Linked DNA regions of Canis lupus familiaris. The protein of the gene in region 2 purifies or fractionates together with the protein of the main gene of each other region. This does not show direct contact. Links are inferred from orthologs where the notes say so. Each region holds a gene or a part of one and is shown on either strand. Other genes may lie near its edges. The genes, in order: SNTB2, ADRA1D and SNTB1.

What was found.
Region 1: the proteins of ADRA1D (region 2) and SNTB2 purify together in Homo sapiens (tandem affinity purification; 4 studies listed by BioGRID and IntAct, with this or other methods). This does not show direct contact. The link is inferred for Canis lupus familiaris from reciprocal best matches to the Homo sapiens genes ADRA1D and SNTB2.
Region 3: the proteins of ADRA1D (region 2) and SNTB1 purify together in Homo sapiens (tandem affinity purification; 4 studies listed by BioGRID and IntAct, with this or other methods). This does not show direct contact. The link is inferred for Canis lupus familiaris from reciprocal best matches to the Homo sapiens genes ADRA1D and SNTB1.

What each region holds. Positions count from the first base shown.
Region 1 is NC_049226.1:80,985,614-80,989,262, forward strand, and holds part of SNTB2 (beta-2-syntrophin), read right to left. Parts: intron 3,073-3,649; coding exon 2,859-3,072; intron 1-2,858. UniProt on the Homo sapiens protein: Adapter protein that binds to and probably organizes the subcellular localization of a variety of membrane proteins. May link various receptors to the actin cytoskeleton and the dystrophin glycoprotein complex.
Region 2 is NC_049245.1:17,682,826-17,686,168, forward strand, and holds part of ADRA1D (alpha-1D adrenergic receptor), read left to right. Parts: intron 1-538; coding exon 539-1,134; 3' UTR 1,135-3,343. UniProt on the Homo sapiens protein: This alpha-adrenergic receptor mediates its effect through the influx of extracellular calcium.
Region 3 is NC_049234.1:20,013,775-20,017,523, forward strand, and holds the start of SNTB1 (beta-1-syntrophin), read right to left. Parts: upstream 2,735-3,749; 5' UTR 2,720-2,734; coding exon 2,173-2,719; intron 1-2,172. UniProt on the Homo sapiens protein: Adapter protein that binds to and probably organizes the subcellular localization of a variety of membrane proteins. May link various receptors to the actin cytoskeleton and the dystrophin glycoprotein complex.

The DNA.
Region 1 (3,649 bases), on a different chromosome or scaffold from region 2:
TGTGTCTCTCGTGAATAAATCAATCAATCAATCAATCAATCAATCAATCTTTAAAAAAAGAGAGAGAGAGAGAGAGAGACCCCAGAGAGCTCTCTAGACTCTTCCGCTATGTGAGGACACAGCAAGAAGATAGCCATCTATGAATCAGGAAGCCGGCCCTCACCAGACACGGATTCTGCTGGCACCTCATCTTGGACTTCTATCCTTCCTATTCTTGGACTGTGAAAAATCAATTTCTGTTGTTTATAAGCCACCCAGTCTATGATATTTTGTTACAGCAGTCACAACAGACTACGACAAGAGATACCTATTCTCATTCTCAGAAATGATTTATAATGAAGAGACTTAGCCTGAAAAAATTCCTCAGCCTGACAACCAGTTGACAAATTTAGTTGCTGTTTGTTCTTTATCACATTGTTTCTCTATTCTAGTTCCTTCTTTGTGGTCCTTATTTTTTTTTCCTAATTTTTTTAAGTTCATAATTAACCAAAAGCTCTCCAAAAATGCATTTCATTTGAAGAAAAAAAATAATTTTGATCTAAAAGTTAGAAGTGATTACTTTGCAAATTAAATTCTTACTTAATGAAAAAAAAGCAATTCTTTAAAGACCAAGCTCTGTTGTATTTAGATATAATTTAACATGCACACAATCTTTCATGAATAAATCTATATGTAACTTGAAACAATTTCCATAATGTCTTGAACTTGTAAAAGAAAGAAAACAAGATCAATACAAATATATCAGAACATAATTTTCAAAATGTGTAAACATAATTGGCAGTTAAGACTTCTTCAAGCTACGCTTTAAAAAATATTTTTTTGGGGGGGATCCCTGGGTGGCTCAGCAGTTTAGCACCTGCCTTTGGCCCAGGGCGTGATCCTGGAGTCCTGGGATCGAGTCCCGCATCAGACTTCCTGCATGGAGCCTGCTTCTCCCTCTGCCTGTATCTCTGTCTCTCTCACTCTCTCTGTGTCTCTCATGAATAAATAAAATAAAAATCTTTAAAAAAAAAACTTTTTAAAAAAATTTATTTATTTGAAAGAGAGCAAGCAAGAGAGAAAGCACAAACAAGGGGCAGGGGCAACGAGAGAGGGAAAAGCAGGCTCCCCGCTGAGTGGGGAGCCCAACCTGGAGCTCAACCCAGGCCCCAGGATCATGACCCAAGCCGAAGGGAGATGCTTAACTAATTGCAAGTCACTCTTTCTTAAGAACCTACAATGAACCTGGCTCTGTGCAAAGGGTTCCTATTATTGTCTCATTTAATCTGCACACTGAGTTAAGTATTATTATTCTTTTTTAAAAAAAAAACAAATGAGGATATGGTGGTTTATGGAGGTGAAAGGATTTGCTCAGAGCCTTTCAGCAGGTCACCCTAATCATGATTGTCTGATTTCCACAAGAAGGTTTATCTGATTGCAGAGCTCAACTCTTTCCAGTATGCCACACACAATATATATTACAGAGCAGGACTTTTAATGTCCCCATGGTCTAAAATCCCCAATGTTGGGGCACCTGGGTGGCTCATTAAGCATCTGCCTTCAGCTTGGGTCATGACCCTGGGGTCCTGGGATTGGGTCCCTCATCAGGCTCCTGGCTTCCCCTGTTCATGCATTCTCTATCTTTCAAATAAATAAAAAATCTTCAAAAAAATGCCCAAGGTCACTGAGCTTCCTGCTGTCTTCTTGTATCCATCCCATCCTGATTGGGTATTTGGCTATACATTCAGATCAGAAGAGACCATAAAACTGAAAGTACATTATATAAAGTCTGGTGCTTAACTAGGTCTTTGGATAAGTTTCTCTGTCTCTTTTTTCCCCCTAATCTCTAACCGAACACTAGGTTTACCAGTATCACCTCACAGAATCACTGAAGACAAAGTCACAGAACCTGAATGGTTATAGAACTATGCAAGGGACACTAGAAATTATTCAAAATCAACTCTCTCTATTTACAAATAAGGACACTCAAGTCAAGAGATGTCAAGTTGCCAGGGTCACATTGCTAGCTGAGGCAGCCATATCTATAATCAGATCTCAGACTCTACATTATCCACAATATAAGGAGTTTCCATCTGAGGAGATATTTACAATTTAACAAGGTTTTTAAAATTATGAATTAAATTCAGAGTGAGAAAAGTACTAATACTCCAGAAAAGTGTGAAATTAAGAGAAGTCCCTCTACCCTTCTAATCTATTTGATTGATTGATTGATTGATTCATTCATTCATTCATTCATTCATGAGTGACACAGGGAGAGAAAGAGAGAGGCAGAGACAGGCAGAGGGAGAAGCAGGCTTCATGCAGGGAGCCAGATGTGGGACTCGATCCCGGGTCTCCATGATCACGCCCTGAGCTGAAGGTGGAGCTAAACCGCTGAGCCACCTGGGCTGCCCTACCCTTCTAATCTTATTTTACTCCCTGGAGGAACCACCATGAAGTTTCCTGTGTGTTTGTCCCAAATTTTTCCATATATGTATATGTACATGTATGTGTAAAGTAATTTAAATATGGAACTCCAGGGTCACCTCAGTGGCTCAGTGGTTGAGCGTCTGCCTTTGACTCAGGTCATGATCCCAGGATCGAGTCCCGCATCGGGCTCCCCACAGAGAGCCTGCTTCTCCTTCTGCCTATGTCTCTGCCTCTTTCTCTATCTCTCTTATGAATAAAGAAATAAAATCTTTTTAAAAAAAAGATATATATGGAACCCCCAAAATTATTCTCTCATCTTAGGCTGATGTTTTCCTCTGCATAATGTTGTCAACAGTCATATTATTAATAATATGCATGAGTAATATTGCAACATGTCCCTAAGTTTGTAAAGCTGTGAGTACGATATTCTCCCTTTAGGTACAGCTCACCTGTTTTCCAGATCCGGCATGCTTAGGTTTCTAGCAGCAAAGCACATTTTGAGAGGGATGACCTTCCTGTCCTTGGTGCTGTTCTGGTGTTTTGGAGAACCAGAGTCCTCACTGCCACTAAAGCTTGGTGACTGCGGAGATGCACCTTCCCAAGGTAGATCTGATACTAATGATGGTTTCTTGATATATGGTGTTACTTCTCGGATGAACTTGACTACAAACAAAAATCAAAGAAGAAGGTTACTGTTTTTGCTTCCTATGAACAATGACAACTGAAATACACACATACATTTAATATCTGTTGGTCAGTAAAAAAAGACACTAAGTTAAAGAGCCAGCACACAGCATTTTAGGATTGGAGAATATCTTAAAGGCTATATAATCCAAACGAAATGCCACTACTATATTCTAAAAAGTTTAACTTCTGAGCTTTTGCATGTATTTTTCCTTCTGCTTAGGATTCCTCTTTCTCTGCCTGGTCAACTCTACTTCAGAGTTACCTCTTCAGCAACCTTTCCTGTCAACTCTCCCCAGGGTATTACCAACACACCTCTGTCACAACCTCTCAGCACCCTGGGTTGTATCCTTTGCTAATACTTCCATCCACCTGCTGGGTCTGAGTTCTTTGAGGGCAGGACTTATGATGGATTCAGTCTTAGTATCCAACACATAGTACAGTGTGTGCTCAATATATGTTTGAAAATGAGTTAAAGAAACAAATGGAGACGCCTGGGTGGCTCAGTTAGTTAAGTGTCTGCCTTTGGCTCAGGTTGTAATCTCAGGGTCCTGGG
Region 2 (3,343 bases):
AACGGATTTCGTTGAAAACACCAAAACATTTGTGAATGAAATCTCTGGCTTAGTAAGGAATGTGCTTCTAGGTTAAGGCATTAAGTAAGAGAATCTAGTGGTAGGTTCTGATGACTGTCATTTCCAAATAGGAGCAGACAGTATTTCAGAGCATCTGCAGCAACTGAATGTGATAGGAAAATACCTGGCAGGAACTGCTGAGAGTCAGGTCGAATTCTAGGAAACTGCCCATCTTGCACCAGTTTTGAGCTAGGAGAACCGGGACCGCATAGGGCTTCCTCTCCCTCCTACTTGAGTTTGTTGCCTACACTGTCATTCAGGGAAACTGCTCAGTATCAAGGAGACGTCAGTAAAACGGAAGATGATGATTTTTTCCTCATCAGGGACCCCCTTGGGGAGAGAGACGTTGGGAGCCCCGAGCTGGCAGCCCAGCCCCTAGTTGAGGACTTTGCGCCCAGGGGGCTGCCGGGCCTCGCTCTCCTGGAGCATCTAACAGGCGTGGGTCTCTACCCCCCCCCCCCCCCCCCCCCCCCCGCAGGCTCCCTGTTCCCGCAGCTGAAGCCCTCGGAGGGCGTCTTCAAGGTCATCTTCTGGCTCGGCTACTTCAACAGCTGCGTGAACCCGCTCATCTACCCTTGCTCCAGCCGCGAGTTCAAGCGCGCCTTCCTTCGCCTGCTGCGCTGCCAGTGTCGGCGTCGTCGGCGCCGCCGGCCCCTGTGGCGCGTCTACGGCCACCACTGGCGGGGCTCCAGCGGCGGCCCGCGCCCCGACCTCGCTGCCGGCCGCGGCGCCGCGCCCCCCGGGGCCCCGCTGGCCCTCACCGCGCCCTCGGCGCCCGGCTCCCCCGGCTCCCCCGGCTCCCCCGGCGCGCCCGAGGCGCAGGGCCCCGTCGCCGGCCGTCGAAAGCCGCCCTGCGCCTTCCGCGAGTGGAGGCTGCTCGGGCCGTTCCGGAGACCCACCACCCAGCTGCGTGCCAAGGTCTCCAGCCTGTCGCACAAGATCCGCGCCGGGAGCGCGCAGCGCGCGGAGGTGGAGGCGGTGTCCCTCGGAGTGCCCCACGACGTGGCGGGGGGCGCCGCCGGCCAGGCCTACGAGCTGGCCGACTACAGCAACCTCCGGGAGACCGACATCTAAGGCCCGCGGGGGGGGGGGGGCTGCGGGCGGGGGCGGGTGCAGGTGCGGCAGGGCGCGGCGGGGGCCCAGCGAGGCTGGCTTGACGCTGATCCGGGCTGCTCCCGGGCCTCCCTGAGAAACTGAGGCTACGGGGTAGGGCCCTGGAAAGGTAAAAAGTTATGGCCTCCCTCCCCGACACAGGTGCCTGGAGCTCTTCCTTTCGGAGGAAGGGGCTGTGGGTTCCGGGGGGCCTGTTGCCCCCAATCCCTGTTTGAGAAACACTGCCCCATCCATGCCTTGAACCCTGGACAGACCGCCTCAAGAGGAGGGGCAGGCCTGCCTGGCTGTCCCCAATGCCTCCCCTAGGGAAAAAGCCAGTGGGACCAGGGGGACTTCTCAATGGACACAACTTCTCCTTACTGCCGACTGGAGGAACCCAGTGGACCAGCCCAGCCACCAACAAGCTTTGGTGGCAGATTGGATGACCATCCCACAAGCCTGTTGTATTTACCCATGGACCCACTCCCCACTACAGAGGCTCCTCCATGCATACCCCACCACCTGGCCCTGCCCCTCATTATGTCCCAAGGGCCTTACTGTTTACACTCTGTACATAGTGCCTGTGCCCATCACTTCTTGCGAGGATCTGGAGCCATCAAATGGGGAGAGCTTTGTCATTTTGAGACATATTTATTGGTAAGAGTACTTCTATTTTGTCCAAACTGTGCAAACTGTCCCTCTTTAGCTTGTAACCCATAAAGAACTACTTTTTTTTTTTTTTTTCTAAACTCCTTCAAGTTCTAAAGCCCAACAAGAGGATAGTCAGGTCTGCATTCACCTTTCTAGTTTCAACCCAACTATCTGTTTAATGGATGGCTGTTCTCCTCTGGGACTTTTAGCATGACCCTTAAAGGACTTAGGGGTTTTGTTGGCTTTTAAAATTCATATGATGAGTCTTGGGAACCAAACAGTAATCATAAGCATAAATGTTCATTTTGTCAGTCTCCCCAGATGTATCTGTGATGCTCTTGGTCTCAGTGAGGAAGATGGCCATCAGTTAAATGGATAACACATTACATGAAAAAATATAGAAGCCCAAGTAGACAAGCATACATGGTATGAGAGAACACCTACTTAGGAATAGTGCTGTTAGCTTTGAGTGAAATGTCCAGCACTTGTCACATACTCAAGAGATTGAGGTAATTCAGTCTTCAGCTGGATAATATCAACCACACACATACAGCCGGAGTGGGGGTGATAACTGTGGTCCAGTGGAAAGCTGGTTAGGCAATACCCCAGGGTGTCTGGAGTGGGAATGTTCTAAAACTAGAAGAGCCAGTTGCTGGGGCCAACATGGACCAGTAGTTTGAATCAAAAGTTTCCATCCTGTGCTGAGGAAGTAGTCTATTTGAAAGGTAACCACGATTTTAGACCTCTCCAATTTTATAAGGTAAAAAGATAGCCAGTACCAGGGCTCAGGAGCAGACATTTCATACTGTGGATCTACATCAGCTTCTAGGCCTGGCATCCCCGCAAGGCACAGGAAGGGTAGTTAAAGGCGGGTTCTGGGTACATGCTGTACACCCCAAAGAGGGCCCACTTTACAGGACATTGGCCACCTAAAGCTGGGGACACTGGAGGACAGCCCTTGCTATCTTCTCACAGAGGTGGGGGCCATCCCTCAAATCAGGAGTCAGCAAAGGGGCTGACCCCTCATCAGAGAACTGAACATTGGGCTTCTGGGCAGAGGTTCCAACAGCAGGGGAAGGTCTCTGAGCAGGCGAACATGGGCTCCCACATGCCAGGGCAGTGGAGCCCACAGGAGGTCAACAGTGGGGATAAGGGAGCAGGTTGGGGAGGGAACGTTCATAGGGGGACTTTAGGGGGCCCTCCCTGCCCTGGAAAACCCAGTAGGTGTGCAGGCAGGTGGAGCTGGCAGCTAGCCCAATACTTTCTCTAGGCCCAATGATTAATCTGCAAAACATCTCTCATGTTCAAGCCTCAGCCCTCATCTCCTGGCCACAGGGGCCCTCTGCACACAGCTGTCACCTCCTGTACCCCCATGCCTTCAGGACATCAGGGGGAGCTACAGAGCTCCCCAAGAGGCTCTGCCACAGGGACCCCCACCACCACCAGGGACCCAGTTCTAATCATGGATAAAGCACTGAGTTGCTGACCTTGGGGTCAGGACATGTCCAAATGCCGCAGAGTGGCCTAGAGGAATGGAGGG
Region 3 (3,749 bases), on a different chromosome or scaffold from region 2:
CAGTAGGGAATCCATGCACTACTATAAGCTACAAAGAGAGGACGTGTGATATTTGCTTTGATGGTGTATGATCACTCCTACTGCACGCACTCAGGACCAACACTTCAACTCAGAGCAAGAGACATTGTTTTGAGTGGGGCCTCTACTGGCTTCTCTCATTTGCAGTCGATCTCTGAAAACTCTGGCTGGGAATAAGACTGCTGCCCCCAAGCCCAGGTGGCTCATTTCCAGGAGGCCCACAGGCCTCCCCGCAGAGGTCCTGCCCGTAACACAGGATGGCGTGTTGCAAGAATGTCACATCAGAGGTTTTTACAAAACTCACTCTTAGGTTGCTGCATCCGTAAAGTCACATAACTGTCTGATTCCTTTTAAATTTATTTTCAACTGCAGGGAGTCACCTTTCCTTCCTCTTTTTTTGGGTGAGAGATTTTTTTTTTCATCTCTTTGCTAAGTTATTATTCATTAAATTGAAACCAAAGAGAAGAAAAGACATAATGAAGGACATAAAAGACATAACGAATTGAAAGAGAAATGGCCTGCCTTTTGTCCCCCCTGAGAGTTTATAGCAAATATTGCAAGCGAAGCAGGCGCCTAGCAGTTTATAGTCCAAACTAAACTTGCCGCAGATCCCACCTGCCTCTTGTCACACAAACCAACACACACACTCGAGTCAAGAAAACTTTTTTCTGTTTACTTATGTTAATCATCAAGCCAAAGCAAATAGCCTTCCACTTTCTGGATCCAGGGTAGCTATTAAATATGAAGACATCACAAATCCTCTAGATAAATAAAAGTGTGTGGGGGAGGACCCTATGTATTCTAGGCAGGAGCTGGACGATCGTGTACCAGAGAGTTGCATCAGCTGTCACATGTAACAAAGCTGGTTTTCCAACTTTGAACTTTCTCGGTTTCACACACCAGCACCACATCTGGTGAGCAGGAAATTGACTTTAAGTCCTCAATTTCGGATTTAAATCAACCACCAGTTTACAAGATCTGGGTTGAAATACTGTGCGACCATGGCTATGGGCTCATTTATTTATTCACTTGTCATGCATATCCTTGAGCCCTGAAACTCAAGGGAGATGACCCATAACTAAATAAAAGACCCCAGGCAACTCAATCTACAGTGAGGGGGAAGCTGAGTAAATAGGCAAAAATAATTACATGATATGTGTGCTAACTGAGGTTAGCACGAAGCAAGCCATGGGGGCAGAGAGGCAGTTACCAAGTAAGAGATACAAGATGTAGTGGGAAAGGAGAATGATTATCCACTTAATACCCTACTGCCCTTCTGCCCTCCTAACAGCACATAATCCCAAAAGGCTATAACAACTCGGCTACCTATTCCACTCCCTTGAAAAATTAGGGGATTGGGGACATAGGATCTCAAGAGAGTCCTTTCCAAGAAGCCTCCCACTCAGGGGAAACTGTTTACAAATGCGAAACTGTTTCCACGCCACTCAGGAAAAATCCCGGGACGAGGCCAGGCAGAAAAACTGCCTCAGCAACCCTCCAGCCAGAGCAGCCTGGAATCCAGACTGACCGGCCAAACACCTGGCACCAGAAGGGAACCAACTTCTGCATGAAGCTGCGGCACACTTCCCCAGCCCTTGGCACAACTCCCCCAGCGTAATAACCCGGGTTTCCAGTCTGCGAGGAGGGAAGTCCGGGAGGATGAGGGGGCTTGGGGGGCGGGGGGGTCCACGCACACGGCCACGCCTCTCCATCCTCTTTGGGGGGGACTGAATGAACCCTTTAAATCAGATCGCCCAGGCTTCTGAGAACATAGTGCCGAGGCACGAAGCTGCAGCAGAGTTGCGATTATTCATTCAGTGGGCTCTCCCCGCCGCGTGGACGGCTGCCCCGGGTTACACTCGGCCCCCACGCCTCACTCGGATTATCCGCGGGGAAACAGGACACGCGGTGCACTAAGCCTGCTCGCCCTGCCCCTTCACACACCCCTGCAGGGTCCCGGCCTGCAAGAGCTCCCGGGTTAGGGCCGCGGGGTCAGGGACCTGGGTTAGGGGCGCGGGGTCAGGGACCTGGGTTGGGGACCCGGGGGCAGGGGGGCTAAAGCTGTCCCAGCTCCCCGCCGCCGGCCCCGGGGCTGCGCGGGCACGTGGGTGGGTGCGAGGGGGTGTGTGCGCGGCCGCCGGCGGGAGCCCCTACCTTCCAGCAGCACCTCCCTGCCCGCGCGCTTCAGCGCCTGCACCGCCTCGTCGTGGGTGGCGTCCCGCAGGTCGGCCCCGTTCACCGACAGGATGGCGTCGCCCACGTACAGGGCCTGGGTCTGGTCGGCCGCCAGCCCCTTGAAGATCTTGCTGATGAGGATGGGCATCTTGTTCTCCTTGCCTCCCTTGATGCTGATGCCCAGCCCGCCCAGCTCCTGCTTCAGCACCTTCACGCCGCGCTTCTGGTTGGAGATGGCCTCGGGCACCTGCTCGGGCAGGTCGGTGAAGGCGGTGCGGACCCCGGCCGGCGAGTCGGGGGGCTGCGCGCCGCCCGCGCCCCTGCAGAACGCGCCATTGGTGGCGGTGCCCAGGCCGTTGGACGCCGCGGCGCCCTCCTCGCAGCTCAGGACCAGCGCGTCCTCGCCCAAGTTCACCAGAACTTTGTGCCAGCGGTCCCGCACCAGAACTTCCAGCGGCCCGCTCCGCGGCGCGCGGCCGCCTCCCCCGCCGCTCGGGCCCGCCGCCGCCGCCGCCGCTACCGCCATCTTTCCGGCATTCTTAAAACGCCGTGCGATTGCCAAAGGGGGGAAGAGTGGGCACGGGCTGCGGGGAGGCCGCGGGCGCGGGGCGCGGGCCGGGCGCGGGGCGCCGCTCGGGGACTTGGCACGCGCGCCCGGCGCGAGGTGGCCGCCGCCGCGCGCTCCCCCTCGCCGGATCCTGCGCGGGGTGGAGCGACCTAAAAGAAGGAGAGACACACTCAGGGGAGGGGAAAGGAGGGGAAAGAAAAAAAAAAAAAAAAAAAAAAGCCAGCTGCCAGTTGCAAACGCGCCAACGGAGGGGAGCGGCGGCGCTCGGCGCCCGGAGGGTCGGGAGGAGGAGGCGCGCCCGCGGGGAGGGCGGGGGCCCGGCGGGGCCCGGCGGCCGCTCACCTGTTCCGGCCGCTCGCGGCTCCGACCCCCGGCCCCGCCCCCTCCCCGCCCCGCGGGCGCCCACGCCGCGCCTTGGCCCGGACCCCTCGCCCTGCCTGGGGCCCGCGCTCCACGCCCCGGAGCCCGCCCCACTGTCCCTGGGTCCCGCCCCCCCCCCCCCACGCCCCAGCCGTACCCAGACCCAGACCCTCCTCGCTCCGGCTTCCGCAAACCGAGGCTTGGCTTCTCCCGCCGAGCTCTTCCTCACCTGGCTCCCCTCCGCGCCGGGGTTCCCAGGTAGACTCGGATGGAGGCCCCGGGTTCTCCGAGAGTCCAGAGGGACGGCTGTCCCGAGAGCTCAGGATGGAGCGTCAGCATAGCCCGAGGGCCCGAAACTTCCTCTCTCGAAATGCAGGCAGGACTTCTTTCCTCCGGATCCCTGGAGAGGCGCGTGTGCTGGCCGGTGGCTTTCAGCAGGTCACTGCCTGCCCCCGACCCCAGACCCCGGGACCTGACGCCTTCCCAGCTTCAACACTCCGTAGGCAATCTGCGTCTCTGTCTGGTCCCCGCCCCCACCCCACCCAGGGCCATTCCAGTTGTTTCCTGGGACTTTCTCTTTCTTCCCAAAATCCAATGTAGGAGGTCCCACCGTTTGAGAACTCGGTGG